2 linked regions of the Rhinolophus ferrumequinum genome follow. The protein of the gene in region 1 purifies or fractionates together with the protein of each later gene. This does not show direct contact. Links are inferred from orthologs where the notes say so. Each region holds a gene or a part of one and is shown on either strand. Other genes may lie near its edges.

The links. Proteins that work in one complex are often made in the same cells at the same time.
Region 2: the proteins of CAMKV (region 1) and CWC22 purify together in Homo sapiens (affinity purification with mass spectrometry; 3 studies listed by BioGRID and IntAct, counting the BioPlex papers as one, with this or other methods). This does not show direct contact. The link is inferred for Rhinolophus ferrumequinum from reciprocal best matches to the Homo sapiens genes CAMKV and CWC22.

What each region holds. Positions count from the first base shown.
Region 1 is NC_046300.1:6,609,418-6,618,286, forward strand, and holds the start of CAMKV (caM kinase-like vesicle-associated protein), read left to right. Parts: upstream 1-5,318; 5' UTR 5,319-5,511; intron 5,512-8,869. Other genes in the region: uncharacterized protein LOC117037109, read left to right, coding at 1-2,017. UniProt on the Homo sapiens protein: Does not appear to have detectable kinase activity.
Region 2 is NC_046291.1:46,208,534-46,216,751, forward strand, and holds the start of CWC22 (pre-mRNA-splicing factor CWC22 homolog), read left to right. Parts: upstream 1-4,839; 5' UTR 4,840-4,894; intron 4,895-8,218. UniProt on the Homo sapiens protein: Required for pre-mRNA splicing as component of the spliceosome. As a component of the minor spliceosome, involved in the splicing of U12-type introns in pre-mRNAs. Promotes exon-junction complex (EJC) assembly.

The DNA of each region.
Region 1 (8,869 bases):
CTGGATGCTGGATGCCTCTGGGATGCAGGACACTCCGATGATCCAGGCCAAGAAACTGCAGTGGGTGAACTCAGAGCAGACTCCAGAGCCTGCTCCTTCAACCAAACCCCAGGAGATGCCCAGATCCCTGCTCCAGGAGGATACAGCCAGCCACAACCAGAAAGAGGTCATTACTGCTCATCCTGAAAATACTTGGGCTGAAGCGACTGGGCAGGCCCTCCTTGGTGTTTGGCCCCCACAAGCTGAGTGGCATCCCCTCACTGGACAGCCGCCTCCAACCGGTCAGCCTCCCTTTTCTGAGCAGCGCCCTTTCCCCAGGAAAACCCACTTTTCTGGACAGATTCCCCTAGCTGAGCAGCATCCTTCCACCAAGCAGCCCCCCCTTTCTGATCAGCCCCCTCTCACTGGAACACCTCTTGCCAGGCAGCTTTCTCTCACTGGGCAGTCTCCCTTTTTCCAAGAACCCCCCATCTCCAAAGAGCCAATCCTCTCAAGAGACCCCCCTACCACCAGGGAGCCTGGCCAAGCTTCCATCCTGTGCCAGGAAAGTGAGTCCTTGGGTCTGCCCACCCATGTGGGGGTACTTCAGGTGCCCCAGATCCCTGAGAAAATCTGTGTCTATGTGAGCAAAGAAAAGGTGGGTACCAGTGCCGCTCCAAGCTCCAGCACACATTGGCTCTCATCCTGGCAACATGACAGCTCTCACAGGGCCCAGGAGCAGCAGCTCTCCCCAGTTACATTCACCACACCTGGCACTGGCTGCAAGGTCTTGCCCATGGCCATGGTGGGCACTGAGGCGCAGGGTCCCCAGTCTAAGCTGACAGCTGAAGACATTACAGACTCGGCCACGGTCACACACCTTGGCCTGCTTCGCGGGGCCTGCTATGAGCTGGTGTCCACCCTGGATGCTCTGCCGGAACAGTCCCCAGTGCTTCGCCGCCACTCACTGGGCTCCTACCAGGACATGGCAGCCGTGGTAATTGACACAGGCACAGGTTTCACCAAATGTGGACTGGCTGGAGAGGACCATGGCTTCAGTGTGGTGCCCTCATGCATCCAGCTGCTGCAGCAGCCAGTCCAGGGCCAGCCCAGGTATGCGGTGCCTGAGAACCGAGAGGGCTCCTACTCAGTGCTGAATCGAGGCGTGGTCTCTGACTGGGACGCACTGGAGATGCTGTGGCAGCACCTGTTCTACTGCAGGCTAGGCATGCAGCCTGAACAGCTGGCAGTACTTGTGGCCGACTCACCCGTCTCCCCGAGCACCAACCGAGAAAAGGTGGCCGAAATACTCTTTGAGCGTTTCCATGTGCCAGCCATGCAGACAGTGCACCAGGCCCTGCTGGCGCTCTATGCTTATGGGCGAACCACTGGGCTGGTGCTGGGCAGTGGCTATGGCACCTCCTATGTGGCACCCATCCTCAGTGGGGATCTGGCCCCACGTGACATCTACCGGCTGGATGTGGCTGGTGCTGACCTCACTGAATACCTGGCTCAGCTACTGCTGGCAGGTGGGCACTCACTGCCCAATGCAGGGCTGGTCAACCAGATTAAAGAGGCCTGCTGCTACGTGGCCATGGATGTGACAGCTGAGATGGCCCGCACCCAGGGTCAGGCCGGGGTGGACTTCGTGCTTCCAGACAAGCAGGTCATCACGCTGGGCTCCGAGTGTTTCTGCTGCCCTGAGGCCCTCTTCCAGCCCAATCTGCTAGGCCTCAACCGGCCAGGCCTCGCACAACTAGCCCTCCTAAGCATCAGCCAGCTGGAGGCCAAGCAGCAGGAGCAGCTGCTGGCCAATGTGGTACTAGACGGTGGCAGCACCCTGGTAAGAGGCTTTCCTGAGCGCCTGAGACAGGAGCTGGGCCCCCGTGCCACTGTGCTGGACTTGCCCCACCGTGTTGCTGCCGCTTGGATTGGAGGCTCCATCATGGCGTCCCAGGACTCCTTCCAGAGCCTGTGGCTCAGCCGCCGTGAGTATGAGGAGGAGGGCCCATGGGCCATCTACAAGTACCATCTGTGAGCACATAAAAGTTCTGGTTCTGCTTATTTTGAGCACTGTGGCATGTTTTAGGCCCAAGGTGGTATGGAAGGGGCAGGAGTCCTGGCCCAGGGTCAGGGATGGCGGCCTTGGCACTCCTAAGGCACACCCTGCCTCTGCACACTGGAACTCCATGGGTCCTGGCAGCCTTCTCTAGAGAGCCCCAGAGCCCCTTGGCATTGGCTTTGGTCTCGCCTGACAGGTCTCGCCTGACCTTTACTGAACCCCAAGGGCAAACACAGAGAATGGCTGCTGTGGGTTTTGCCCCGTTGCCCTGGTGACAAGCGCAATTACCCTTGATTGCCAGCTGGTTGCCATGGCAATTTCAAACATAATGTAATAACCCACACAGCCTGGAGTGAGTCATGGGGGGGCAGCCCCCTCCCCTAGCACCAGAGGAAAAGACTACTTGCCCTCCCCCATCTTGGGCCCTCTACAGGGGGGCTGAGACCAGCAACATAGACGACAGCCCCAAAGTTCCAAAGATGGCTGGGGGCCTGGAGCATTTTGTGTACCCGAGGGACAGTCCCTGTCAGAGTCTTGGCTTCTTGGGGTAGCTGGCCTGGTAATGCAGGTACCTCCTAAAGTCTGAACCTTGGCTGGAGCTCTACACTAGGTTGGCAGGGGCTTCTGTCCACCAGTCAGAATACGAGGATATAGGAGTGCTGGCTTTGGTGCCCTGGAGCAGGAAGTTGGGGTAGGGGGCAGATAAGTCCTGGCCCCTGGGGATGGGGTACGACCTGAGCTGGGGGCTGAGGCTCTGGCCTGCTTTGTGTGCTCTATGGATACAGCAGCTCGCGCCTTATCCTGCTTCTCTGACTATCTAGCTCTGGTGGGAGCCAGAATAGTCAACTTTGGGCTCTCCTCCTCTTCAGCCTTCCAACCCAGGCAGCCCCTGCCCATAGTGTGGCCAGGGTACAGGCCTCCTCAGGAGATCCTCATAAAGGATACCGGGCAATGCCAAAGCCAACTGCTCTTGCTCTTACCCCAAACTGCCCCGTGTTAGGGCCTCCCGCTATTCCTCTGGCGGGGGGGTGGCTAGAAGCCACGGCCCCTGACCTTGTCTGGCTCTGAAAGGGGAGGTAGGAATGAAGCTCTGTCGGCCCAGTCCATAGTCTGGAAGAGCACTCAGCTGGTGTTGCTACTTCCTGCCCAGAGAGGGCAGTTGGAGATTGAAGCCAAAACAATGAAGCCCTGCCTTGCCTGTGCTTCTCTGGTTGGAGACTGAGGGACAAGCCATGGCTCAGTCTCAACCCTGGGTTCTTGTCTTTAGGTTACCCTCTCCACAGAGGGCAAAGACCTGGCTACACCTCCCTGCCCTCCCACCCCACTGCCCCCCACCTGAGAGTGAGGGGCTACCCTAGGGGGATGACTAGAAACAACCGATGACATAGGGTCATCACAGCCCCTGCCCGCCCCTGGGCATAGTCCAGCCTCTTCCCATGTCCTGTCCTCACAACCCTGATTCAATCTCCACAATCCCAAGGCCTGTGTTAGGCAGGAAGGGGACCAGTGTCTCCAGGGACCAGTGGCTCCAGAGACTAGCTACAGCGTCCGTGAGCACGTGAGAGCAAGCATGCCTGGGTGCACACAGAATGCAGACACACGTGCCCCTGGGCCCCACTGCACACACTGTGCTAATGCCTTCTCCTTCAGCATAAGAGCGCAAACACACAGACACACTTACACGTGTGCACATATACCCTGCCACGTGCTCTCACCCACAGACACATGGAGTGTGCACAGGACCAAGAAGAGGTGGAGCACTGCCAGCAGGAGGCAGGGCTCCCGCAGCCACCTTTTCCCCTGCCTCTGAGTGCCCTGTTCCAGCCTCTCCTCAGTTCAGCTTCTCCATGCCTGGATATCCATGACCTCAAGGTCATGGAAAGACAGAAAACACGTGTGACATGTGTGGGGTTGGCAAACCATGGCTCGGCTGCACCATCCAACTCAGAGAGCCATTGTTTCAAGGACAGCGGGCAGACAGGAGGCAGGACTGCATGCTAGGCTGTCCCTTCATTCTACAGACAGGGACTGAGCATACTGAGATGAGACACAGTCTCTGCGCTGCAGGTGCCCAGCCTGCCAGGAGATTCCCACCCAGTAGTGGGATTGGTGCCATGACTGAGACCACTCAGAGGTGGCACCAGCCTGGCCTGGGACAGGTGACCCAAAGCCAGGGAAGGAAATGAAGGGCTCCTCAACAATCCCTCTGTAGGAAGATATAGAGGGGCCTTGTTTGAATAGTCATTTGCCAGGCTAGTCCTTCAGCCCCAGCCCCAGCTTCCTCACACGGGCAGTCACTCTGTCAGCAGCACGGGGAGCCACGCAGGGGAGCCGGACTCAGTATGGTACAGGGTTTGGAGATGGCTGCACCCAGGATGGGGTCAGAAGGCTCACTGGAAAGGTTGGGTTGGGTGGATCCCCCAACTCCAGGCACCGAGAAGCCTAAGTCTGGCCTTCAGATAATGGCCTCAGACCTTGTGAGGGGAGCAGGGCAAGCACTGGGTCCACAGAGAAATGGCCAAGGACTTCCTTTAAAGCTTCTGCCTGGTAGTTCTCAGCCTCCTCCAGTCAGTGGCCGGGTATGGTCAGGGGCCAGGTCTCCTGTATCCCCACATCCCAGCCCAGGCCGTTGATGGTGATTCTGCTCATGAAGTGTTTGAGGGTGATATAACTGGGAAGAAAGCAGATTCCACACCATGCCATAGGTGACTTTTATAGCTTGAGAAATTCAGTGCTACATAGAAGGGACAGACTGGGCCAGCCACCCTGGCTGGGACTTGGTAATGGGAAAGATTTTGGCCTTGCGGGAATGGAGGTTGGGGTGGAAAGGAGACTGCCACCATGGTCTGGGCACAACCCACTCCTAGTTACGGGTTGCTACTCTATAGCGCAGCTTGCGCTAGCGACTGTCCACTTGGTTCTTCTAAGCGGGTTCCACCCTTAGGGTCAGGTTTTGGGAGCTGGGCAGTGCGCCGGTCCCCCGGGACACTACCTGCCAAGAGATTTCCTGTGCAGCTTTAGGACTCAGGCTTTCCCCACACTTCCCACTCCCCAGCCCCTACAATGGGCATAGGAAGAAGGCCCCTCCATTAAGCCCTGTGGCGCAGTCAGTCCCAGGGCCTAAGGGAGCCCTTTGAGAGCCTGGCCCGGGCCGGGCAGCCCAATGCTCACCGACTCCGCTGCCACCCCTGGTCCGCCTGCATTCGAGTGGGATTCGGGCCTTAAGCTCGGCCAGGGTCGGGGCGGAGCCGGCTGAGGGAGGCCCCGCCCCCAGCCCGCCCCCGGCCCGGGGTGCAAATCCGGTGCGGGCGAGCGGCGGGAGATGCTGGAGGTTCGCGAGCCCAAGCGGCTGCAGCTGGCGCCGCGTCTGGCCCGCGTGCCCGGAGCTGATTCTGCCCGCTGACCCCGGAGCCCTCGGAGCCCCCACTGAGCCCGCGATCGCTTCTTCCTGTGATCAACCGGCGCTGCAGGTGAGGGCGGGCCGGGCGGGGGAGCGTCCCTGGGACGCACGTTGTGAGGTCTTGGGGGATTAGGTCTCTGGTCGCTTAATGTACAGGGGCCCCGCGAAGGCTTGGGGCCCCTGCGGGGGCAGAGCACACAGGCTGTGCAGATTTGGGGGTCCGCGTGCGGGGTTGGGCTAAAGTTGCCTGTCACCTCTGACAGCTCGGGGGTCCCAGGGGAAGCCTCTGAGACTCAAGTCCAGGCGAATCTCCTCTTCCTTGCTCCCCCCGCCCGCACCTTGTCCACCCCGCCCCCGTCTCGCTGGGCTACTAATTGTGAAAACATTAACCCTCGGACATTCGTGGTGCCCCATGGCGGGGGGCGGAGGGGGGTAGGGGCCGAGGGCTGAGTGGTCCCTCCTGACTCCCAGAGCCGCCTCCAGCCCCTCCCAACTGCTCCCGCCCCCCTCCCTTTCTCAAAGCAGTCACTAATTTCCATGACAACGGAGAGTTCTTTATGGGCGACAACCTGGAGGGGGCTGGGCGGGGCTGCCGGAGTGGGGGAGGGGGCTTCAAGCCCCTGGGGACCAGCAGCGCCCGAGGCAAGATCCAGTTTTCAAGCCTTAACTTGGGGCCCAGCCGGGGTCCAGGACACCGACCTAGCGCTGGATGGTGGGGGTGGGGGACACATATGTCTCTGCTGGGTGGTGCGGGGCTTGGTGCTCACACGTGTGCCTCCCGCATGTGTGTTGCTGTGCCAGCGGGGGCGAGTCAGCAGCACTGGGAAGGGGGTCAGGGTGGCACCGCGGTGGGAAGCAGGGCTGTGGCTGGGGGAGGTGGACAATAAACCAGGGAGTTTCTGCCTTCCCCAACCTGTAATGTCTGGCAGAGACCCTAGGCTCTCCCAGCCCCCCATAGCTCTGCCAAACTGCTTTTGTCTGCACCCCTTAGGAAAGCCTGCTCCACCGGGTTCTCTTCTGGGGAGCAGGGCCCTCTGTCCCTCACCAAAAGCTCAGTCTACAGCAGTCCAGCTCCTGTCCTGCCACCCTCCTCCAAGGCCCAGCCTTTGAACCCCCCAAGGACCACCTGCAGAGACCTGGTGCCCTCCCCTCTCATTTGATTCCTGTCAGCTTTAGCCGGCTGTTGGGCCTCAGTTTCCTCATCTGGGATAATGGTGTCTCCACTTCCCTCAGTGTCAGGCAGAGGTCCCTCTCCTTTCACGGCATTGGGTGTGGACCCCCAGGTGCCATAGGCTACCTTTCCCATATCCACCTCTGGCCCTCCTATCCAGCCCATATCCTGGCCACCACTCACTAGCAGGCAATCAATCAATCCTTGCCCTGGGAGAAGGCCACTGAGTCCGTGATCTCCATCCAGGGAAACTAAGGCAAGGGGAGGTGGGGCTGTGCAGTTGTTTTCCTGTTTCTAGGTTGCTTAGGGTGCTGTTTCTGGCTCTCCTAACAGGATCCACTGTTGGGAGGGGGACAGCAGTGGCAGAGAATTAGGCTGAGCTGCAAGAGGGGCCCTGGGGACCTAAGGCCTAGAGAGGATAGCAGAAGGGGGCTGGGGGTGTGGCTGGGGAGTCCAGGTGTAGCTGGGCCAGCTGAGAGGAGGGCTGTGAAGGGAAGCAGCCAGGTCTCCGAGCTTCATTTCCATCCCCCACGCTGGTGCCTTCCCCACGTGGGACCTGCCTTACCTAAGCTGCTGTGATGACAGGGAGAGGGGCTGAGGAGCTGCTCTGACTTAGGCGACTGCAGTAGCTGGCCTCTTCCTTCGAGCTAAGGGTGCTTCCCACACCAGGTTCCCTGCATGTCTAGGGCGTATAGGAGGGTTCAGTCTCAAAGTCCAGGTACCAGGCAGCAGCTCCTGGCCCAGGTGTTCAGAGCACATGGCCGTGGAGGCCCTAGGGCTCTGTTGGGCACCCACAGGCGCCTTCAGAACCCGATGCCCACCTTCCCCCCCCCCCCACCCTTGTGGCTGCATCCTTTTTACTCTGTCGCCTGTTTGCTTCCCTTCCATCACAGGTTGTGCCTTTGTCTCCCTGTGGCCATGTCTCTCTTTCTCTTTTTATAAGTGTCTCAGTACCTCCACCTCCCCTTTCTTGATAGGGACCAAGGTCACAGAACCCATGGGGAAGGAACCAGGTCAAAGCCTCAGGGAATTCTTCGAGAAGGGGTTTGGCCAACACTTCTCCCTCCCCCTCCTCTTGTTTTAAAACTTCCATCACCATTGTAACCCTTTGCTCTAGAGCCTTCCCCTGCATTTCCCCTCCTCCACCCACAGGGAAGCAGGGACCCCAGGGAGTTTTCCTTTAGGGATTCAAAGGTGCCCAGGAGGGGTCAGCTGGCTCTTGACTCTGCCTGCATATGAGGGTTGAACTTTCTGATGGCAGCACTGGACGGTATACCCACCCCTGAGACTGGAGCCCGCCCCCCACCCCCACCCCCGCCACACACACACACACACACACACACACACACACACACACTCCCTCATTAGATGGCAAAGGGTCAGCAGCAGGAACTATGGACCATGGTTTAGCTAGAGCATGAGGCCCAGCCAAGGCAGCCCCCTGCCCAGTTTTCTGAAGCAGCTGGAGGGTAGGCCAGAAGCTCGGCTCTGCCTCCTGACACCAGACCACGAGAGTGAGGTCTCTATTTCCCCTGGTCCTGCGGGTGAGGCTTCAGCAGTGGGCCGGCAGGGCTTGGGCCTAAGCGTGTCCACTGCAAACCCAGCCCCAGTCCCTGAGAAAGGAAAGCAGGGAATGGGGGGGGGGGTGCCCGCAGGCTGGTGTTCACAGCTGCCACTAAATCGGGAGGTGTTGCCGACAGTTGTTGGGAGGCAGCTGGAGGCCTCCTGGGCCCCTCCTGGCCTCCCCAGATTTGCTGCAAGCTCTGGAGCCCCACGTGGCAGAGGAGCAGGGCAGCAGGAAACTCCTGTTTATGGCTAAGAAAGGTGGGGCCTGAAACAGGCTGACCTTAGTGGAGGAGGGAACATGACTCCTAGGTGGGACCTCTGGGCCTCTGGACTGATCTCTGTCCCATTCAGGCTTCCCGTGGGCCAGACTTGTCTTAGGCTGTAGTAGGGTCCCTAGAGGACCCTTTATTACCAGGGCACCAATGGGCAGGGGCTCCCTCAGGGGTGCCCGAGGCTCATTTGCCTGAGCCCAGTGGTCAGACTGGAGAGTGCTTGGCCCTCAGGCTGACTTAGAACCAGCTGGAGGGCAGTGGCAGTGCCCTGCTCTGTACTTTCCCCAAGTTCCCTTTGGACAGCCCCCTGTGCACCATTTAGTTTCTCAGCAGAGAATGGGAAAAGCCACATCTCTAGGGAATTGGGACTCCTGTGCCCTCCCATGTCCAGTGTGGACCTGAGGCAGAGCCCAGGTCCT
Region 2 (8,218 bases), on another chromosome or scaffold:
AGGGCTCTGTTAACTTTGTCTTTCACATAATATGGTCCGAAGAGACCTGAATCATCTAGAAATCATATGGAGCATCATATTGATCCATTTTATCAATGACATCATGCTGATTAAACGGGTTGAACAAGAGGTGGCTAGCAGGCTGGAGGCTTGTGGTCCACAGCATGGGACATTAACACTATAAAGAATCAGGAACCTGTCCCTTCATGAAAGGTTTTAAGGGACCAGTGTTCAGGGCAGTGCTAGAACATTCCCTTCAAAATAAAAGACAAATTGCTGCATCCCCTACAAGACAGGAGAAAGCAGAGTTCCCAGGAGGCTGCTTTGGATTCTGTAAGCAACATACTCCACGCTGAGGAATATTTTTCTGGCCCATGTGCTACGTGACATAAAAAGCTCCCAGCTTTACAAACTGGCAAAAGAAAGGGCTCTGCAGCAGATTTGAGTAGTGGTATAGAATATGGCAGATTCTATGTCAGACTTGTGAGTTTTAGAAAAGATGCAGTCTGGAGTTAATGGAAATCTTAGTAGAAAAATCCCAGGTCGGATCCCTGGGGTTCTGGAGCTAGGTTGCACATCTTTTAAAAATTAGCTCTTGGCATGCTAATGGTAAAGAGACAATGCTTGACCAGGGGATACCAAGTGACACAAAATGAAATGTATCTCGTTGAACACATCCTGTTATAAATTCTGAGGGGCCCTGTTGCAATTCATCACAAGATAAAAGAATTCCATTTGGGATGAAGCAAAAAGAAGACCAGAGGGCACAAACAATCTGCATGATTGTTGCATCAGTACCCCTCAGCTCACACTGATGGCCATATGGAGTAGGAGTAGTGTCTTCAACAATTAGTTAAAAGAAGAAAAAATGGCTGAACTTAGTTTACAGATGAGTTGGCTAAGTATGTGGATGAAAGTTGAAATTGGACAGCAGCTCCATGACTGACAGCCTCACTCAGGAACAACCTTGAAAACAGAGGAGAGGGACAGTCTTTCTAATGGGCAGAGTGTCAGGGGTGCACCTGGTCATCCCCTTTGTGTGGAAGGAAAAGTGACCCAATGTTGGGACATAAACAGATTAAGAGGCAATGGCAAGTAGCCTGGCTGGCTGGTCAGAGGGCTGAAAAGGAAGAGATTTAAAAGACTGCAGACACTGAGGTCTTACAGGATTAGAGGTATGTGGATACACAACATATTAGTGTGAAAAGTGAGCAAAAAGTACGAAGATTTTATTATCACATATCAATGTCTCAGGAAGTACACATCATGGAAGAAACACTACACAACCAAGTAAACAAAATTACTCAGCTGGATGATGTTAGCCTGTCTTTGTTAGTGGCCATCCCAGTGCTGGCACAATGGACACTTGAATGAAATGACCATGGAGGCAGAAATGGAATCTAAGCATAGGCCCATCAGCATGCAGCCTACTTACCACAGCTGACCTGTCTACTGCTTCATCTGAAACCTCAACCTGCCAGCAAAGGAGACCAATATTGAGCTCCTACTATGTCATCATTCCTTTAGGAGATTATGTAGCCCCTTGGTGGAAAGTTGACTACACTGGGATCTTTCCATCCTGAACAGGACAGCAGTTCCACCTCATGGAAATAGATTACTTATTTTGGGTATATATTTGCATTTCCTACCAAACAATCTTCATCCAGCACCACTATCTGAGGACTTACAAAATGCGGGGTCCACATATGTGGAATATAATACAATGTAGCATCCAAGCAGAGAACCACTTCACAGCAAAGGTGCTGCAGGAGGGTACCAGTGATGATGGGTTCCACTGGTTGTATCACATGCTGCATATCCCAGAAGCTGCTGGCCTAATAGAGCACTGGAATGGCCTCCTAGGGGTGCAGTTCAAGCACCGGCTAGGAAATAATACTCAGCAAGAATGAGGTGCTGTTCCCCAGGATGCAATAGACCTTGGTATGGCAGCTCAGGGTCCCTAACAAGAACAGTGCACAGGTCCAGGAAACAAAGGATTAAAACAGGAATAGCCCAATTCACCATCCTTCCCAATGACCCATTAGGGGATGTAGTGTTTCCCGTTCTTGCAACGCTGATCTTTGTGGAATTAGCGGTCCTAGTCCCCAAAGGTGGCATAGTATTGCTAGGGGATTCAGCAAGAGTCCCACTGAATTGAACATCATCTGTTGCCTAGACACTTTGCACTTCTTGAGTTCAGTGACAAGTAGGCAAGAAGAAGGCTTAATGCTTGGCAGGAGAAGCTAACGCTAATCAGCAGGAGAAGGTAGCCTTGATGTTATACAATGGGGAAAAGTAAGCATATGTGTGGTATTCAGGTGATTCACTTGGGTACCTCTTAATAATTAAGGGGATTCACTTGGGCACCATCATGACTGTAAATGGGCAAGTACAGCAACACCTGCCTGAGAAGGAGTTTATTACCAGGGGCTCCAATTTCTCAGGAATTAGGGTTTTCACACCACTGTTTAATCACTGAGACCCACAGAGGTGGTACATGAGAGTGAGGGAAATTTAGAAGGAATAGTGGAAGAAAAAAATAGTGAGTTCAGCTGTAGCTCCGGACCGACTGCAAAGATGGGGGCTGTAGTTTGTCCCCTAACTTCTTTTCTCGGTTTCCCTTCAGGAAGAGGCCCATTGAAACCCTGGAGGAACTGTTCCCTGAATGTGTATAGAGAGTGGATCTACCTGGTGGACTGTGACAGACACAGAAGTGTGCTGCTCAGACACCTCTTCAAGAAAACATGCCTAGTTGTGAAGAGTGTCATTAGGTGACAGCCTTCTACTGTTATCATTTTCAAGTCCACCTCAGCTTTTGATTTGAAGCCTCTCTTCCTGAAGTGGCTCCAGCCAATGACTGAGCAAGATTGTGTTACAAGGGCCTATCACTTTATTGCAGTGTGGATAAATGATACCCCTGTCCCATCTAGTTTCCTCCCTTTTCCTTTCACTTTTTTACATTCTTAACTCTATCTCACTGTTTGCTTCCTGGAAGACCCAAATGATAAACCTAAGTCTTTTCTAGCTCTATTAAGCTCCCCTAGGCTCAACTCTAACTTTCCTATTTCTTTTTATAACAGTAGAGGTGGTATTGTGCTTTTTTCAGATGTGCATTGTCATGCAGGGTGTCATGCGGGGGTCTCAGCTCCCGCTTCCCACCTAAGAACGCAGGACATGCTGAGGCCAAAGAGGAACACCCACAGAGCCACAGATAGGGGAGTCATACCACTATATTCTCGCTAGCGGCTGGGTTGGAGACACAGGAAGCAGGAGCTACACTATCCGCAACCTGCTGTCCATTTCTCTCTGCCAACCAACCTCACTTGCTAGCTAACTACACTCTGCGCTTGCTAGCCACCTTCTTCTTGCTAGCCCCCATTTGCTGCTAGCATAGCCACAGCAGTTATATTAGTGGCCAATGGCTCACTGGTTACAGCTGACAGCCAACTAGCCACAGCTGATGGCTATCCAATCACAGTTGATGGCCATTTACTTCCTGAACCAGCACCTTTCCACGTGAGGCCGAGAGCCTGGAAACTGCACTCCTGGCTCTGTCCCCACAGCATACAAACGTTTACCAGGTTCATCTTCTGTGTACTGTATTGGTACAACTAAAATCAATTCACTTAAATATTTTAAGACACCAAAATGCACTTTTACCGATAGCCAAATCTCTTAAATATTAAAAAAATAGATAATACTATTATATAGGAGGAATTATCTCAACCACAACAACTGTATCAACTAATTCAATTCTTAAAACTACTCTGTGGGGCGGGTACTACTATTATTCCTAACAATCAGGAATCACACACAACAGTGTGACATAACCTACTCCAAGGTCAATCATCCATAAGTATATCAATAGATTCGTGACGTAAACATAAGTAGTCTGGCTCCAGTGTCCTCCGTAGCATTATACTCTTCTGCCTCTAGGAAAGGATTGGTAACACCAGCACACTAAAACTGTAATAGAGAAGTGTTTGGAGAAACCAGGCCTGGTTTAGACAAGGTTCTGGAACATAAAGATACAGTCGTTTTAGGGAATGCTAGATCTCAAAACAGTAACAAGTAAGTGACACTTTAGGTTTTGTTACTATTGAAAAGTAAAGCTTAAAACACATTGATGTTTTACCTCTTATCTCTCCACAGATAGCTATTTCCAAGTCCGCCAAAAAATGTCCTTCTCATCATGATGTCTGGCCAGCTGGTACCTTACCCTAAAATAGAAGCATCATCTTCTACAGAATTAGCTTCTCCTCATTACTTCACGCCATTTATGGTCCAATATCCTCCCACTTACTTGGGCTTGACATCTTGGAATTTAGTAGGCACTTAACAGTTGGAAATATTTTTGTTTATAATGGGTTCTTGATCTAATTACCGTAAAAAGTCTGAAAAGGGTGTCTGCTGTTCTTAAGATTTTCACGGAAAATTACTACTACGGTCTACTTTTTACAACTGCAAATAAATAGTTTTGAAGTATATTTTGCTTCTTCCTAATCACCATCAGGCTCCTGACTAGCCGCCTGAAAGCACTTTCCGTCGCTTATCTGAAGAACTACAATTCCCGGCGTCCATTGCGGCCTTCTCAAAACTAAGACAGTAATTGCTTACGTCATTTCCACCCTCACAGGCGGTGGATGCTGGACTTTGTAGTTTGTATCAACTTCTCTTTTTTGTCGCCGCCTTGGGAAAGGGAAAACGTGGCCGGACACACTGCTCTGAATCTGGTATTATGATGTGTTTTTTTAAAAAATAAGTAGGATAACGTATCAAAGCCAATGTAGCATCAGGTTTGTATGCATTTCACGTCCCGCCTTCCCCCTACTGCCGGGGCCGGGAAGGGGAAGTGACGTGTATCCGGTGTAATGGCGGCGCGGTGGAGCTCCAGGTAACTATCGAACTCCGTAGACTCGCTGCAGCCTGCGAACCGTAGTGTGGGTGGTGGGTTGCCGGACAGGGTGGGTGGTGAAAGGTGCCCAGGAGTGGGTGCGGGACTGCCGGTGCGGCCATCGGTGCCGCCGGGGTGCGCGTGGCTCTCTTCCGGCCGCGCGCCGGCTGGCGAGGTTGAGGTGTCAGAGCTGGTCGGGCGGAGGAGTCTGAACGGGTGGGAAACTCCCTGTCCGCCTGCGCGGACGGACCTCGCTTCCTCCGAGGTTCCTGGTACTGTCTCTCCACACTGCATTTGTTCCTGAAATCCAGCACCAACGCTGGCTCTCTCCTGTTGTGTGCAGTGCGTTTCGGCCGCGGATTCCTTCGAGCCTCTCTAGTCGTTTCGGCTTCCACAAGGCCCCTTTCTCAGTGCCCGGCCCCAGACTATGGGAGTAGGATTAATGAACTGTATAGTTCGTTGAAAAATAGAGTAAATTTCATTGTGCCTTTTTCCGGCGTAATTTCCCCGTGACTGCTCCTTAAAATTTCATTAGTCGTTTCTTTTTCATACATTTGCCGCGTAAACAGTGATTCTTCCTAGTGTTTAGTCCTGCGGACTCTGTTCCTCAGTGTGCGGAGTTCTTCCTCTGTCATACTTGACCATCTCATAAGTTGATCTACCTCCAAAAATGTGATAATTGCCAAACTTGGGTCTCCATTCTCCTCCTCTTACCGAGCTCAGAATCCTACAGTACACTTGCATATATAATGGTAATCTAATGGTTAATTTCACTGAGTCTTTTAACTGCAATATCGCTTTACCTATTTTCACTTAATCCTCACAGGTCTTTGAGCTAAATGGAGAAGGAAAAAAACTAGGGAAAGGCTATTTCAGATGCAAGAATTAGGTGATTGAAAGTGCGGTAAGAGTGCCCTTTGCATTTTTAGGCGTCCACAGACTAAAAATAGGTAAACAAGCAATCTTAGGCTTCAGAAGACCAGGTAACCTGCCTTAACTGTATTTAGACTTGTCTTGTTTTAGGATTGCCTGTGAACTGAGGAGTTAACCTCAATTACCATCCTACTTTGGAGACACAGATTTACAATTGGCATTAACTGTGATTTTGATGTAAAGAGGAGTTGTTAACCTGCAGCATCTGTAGGAGGAGGAGACCTACTTGTGTTGATACTGGGTGATGGACTAGTGAACCCATGATTTCAGTCTTGCTTCAGCACGTGTTAGGTCTGTCACTTGGGGCAGGTTACCTAACATCCGTAGTCTGAAAAATGTGTGTAACAGTAATACCTTGTTTTGAGGATGAAGAAAAATAACGTGTATAAGGCACTCTGCACAGTGCCTGGCGTATAGGTTTAGCTATTATATTACAGTTACTACTATGGTAGAGTTGATGAAGTCACTCTGTGCCTCAGTTCTTGTTCTTTGGTTATGAAGGTTGCCCTTCCACTTTTAAGTGTCCATGCCACTTTCACGGAGCCTTATCTGGCTGAGGCTCTGAGACTTCAGAAGCCAAGAATCTTGATCTAATAACCTGGCCCAGTGATTCTGAATATCTCCTGAATCAGCAGCATCAGTAGCTCTGTGGAACTTGTTCAAGCAATGAAAATTATTGGGCTTCATCCTAGTCCTGTTGAATCAAACTGGGGAGTAGGGAGTCCATCAGTCTCTTTTTAATCAAACCATGCATGTGATTCTCATGCCTGTTAGTTTGAAAGCCACTGTTCCAGCCCATCTCCTAGGGATCTGATATGGTCCAGCCCCCGCCCCACCCCCAGAATCAGGTTTGCTGCCTTCCTTGCTTCAAAGTATTTGAGCTACAACCCTATTACTTGTGCCCCCACGTCCTTCCCTACTTTGGATAGTTTAGCTCCAATCACTTCCGGAATTCTGACACTTCCTAGACTACTTAACCGTCTTTCCTAAACCACCCTTCTTAGCTTTGTCAGTTTTCGCAGCTGCTGGATTGTTAGAGGTTAACTCTCCTTCCTGACGATTGAACATTGCCAAGTGGTCTACAGTGGCTGTTGTAGCTGAGACCACCTAAGATAGTACATGGTAACACATTGTTACTTAAAATGCCCATGCCTTAATTTGAACATGATTTTCTGTTTGTTGCCCACTTGTATTTAGACTGCATTTTGTATTCTGTGGTGTATCCCTAACTTGTTAGAAGTCGTGGCTAGCCTAGAGTTAGTTTAGGGAAAAAGTGGTTATTGGTAATATAGCTGATCCCACTGATGACTTTGAGGGCTTCCTTATTGCATTTCTCTCCTTTTCTGTTCAAGTCTGAGAATCCTAGTATGGGAAGGTGATGGAACAAAAAGACCTCTGGCGTATTAGTTTCAGCAAACGTCCAGACTTACTAAATCTATAACCCTAAATGTTTTATTTTAGTATATGCATTTCTCAGGTGGACATTGAAGAGACATTTCAATGCCGACAACAAACTTTCAAAGCATTTTCTTCAAAAATAACACATCAGAAGAGGAAGCAATGGATTAAAGCAAGCCTTTGCTGTTTGTAGCCAAGCTAGTAAGACTTTCCCAGTTAACAGATACCAAAAACATGGTGTGAGCTGCCTTGGCCTGGGGACATATGGGCCTCTGTGATTATAGAATGGGTTAGCTAATGGGAACGGGAGACCTGGTGAAGATTCACGTTTAACTTGACTTTGAGCCTGACTCCTAAATGAATCAGGCTAGACAGAATTCAGCACTTCCCTCTGAAAAGTTACCTTAGGAGTCAGTCCTTCCCTGAATTAGTTTGTCAGGGCCGCTTTTTCTCAGGAGAGCTGGCAACAGGAGCCTCTGTGGTGGAATGCAGTGCTATGTGTCTAGGGACTACTCGATAAATCTTGGTGGAGGCCAGCACCTCCAAGTTTTCCTTAGAACTTAGAACGTGGTTCACTAAATGGCTCTTTAAATAAAAATTAGAAAGCCCACTTTCAGAGCTGTGCTGTGTGAGTTGGCAGAACAGATCCAGCCCATATGCTTAACTGGGCAAACTGAAGAACACATTTTGGGGGCGAGGCAACCAAGTGAATGAAGGTATACAGCAGATTCAATAATTGGACTTGTTTTGTAAGTTAAAGTAACTGCACCTTAAGTGTCCAATTTCCTCTTGCAGTGCCATCAAAAGAACTGGTATGTTTTTCATCTCAATAGGAAGGTCTCTTCAAGCTGATCAGGTTCACGTGGGGTGAAGACTGGCCGGCACCTGAGAGTGCTATCTTTATGCCATTGACGACAGGCAGCTTGGGGGTTCCCAGAAGTAGGGGTTGATAGGTGGGACAAGGCTGCTGTGGTGTCCCTTGGTAAAGAAGTC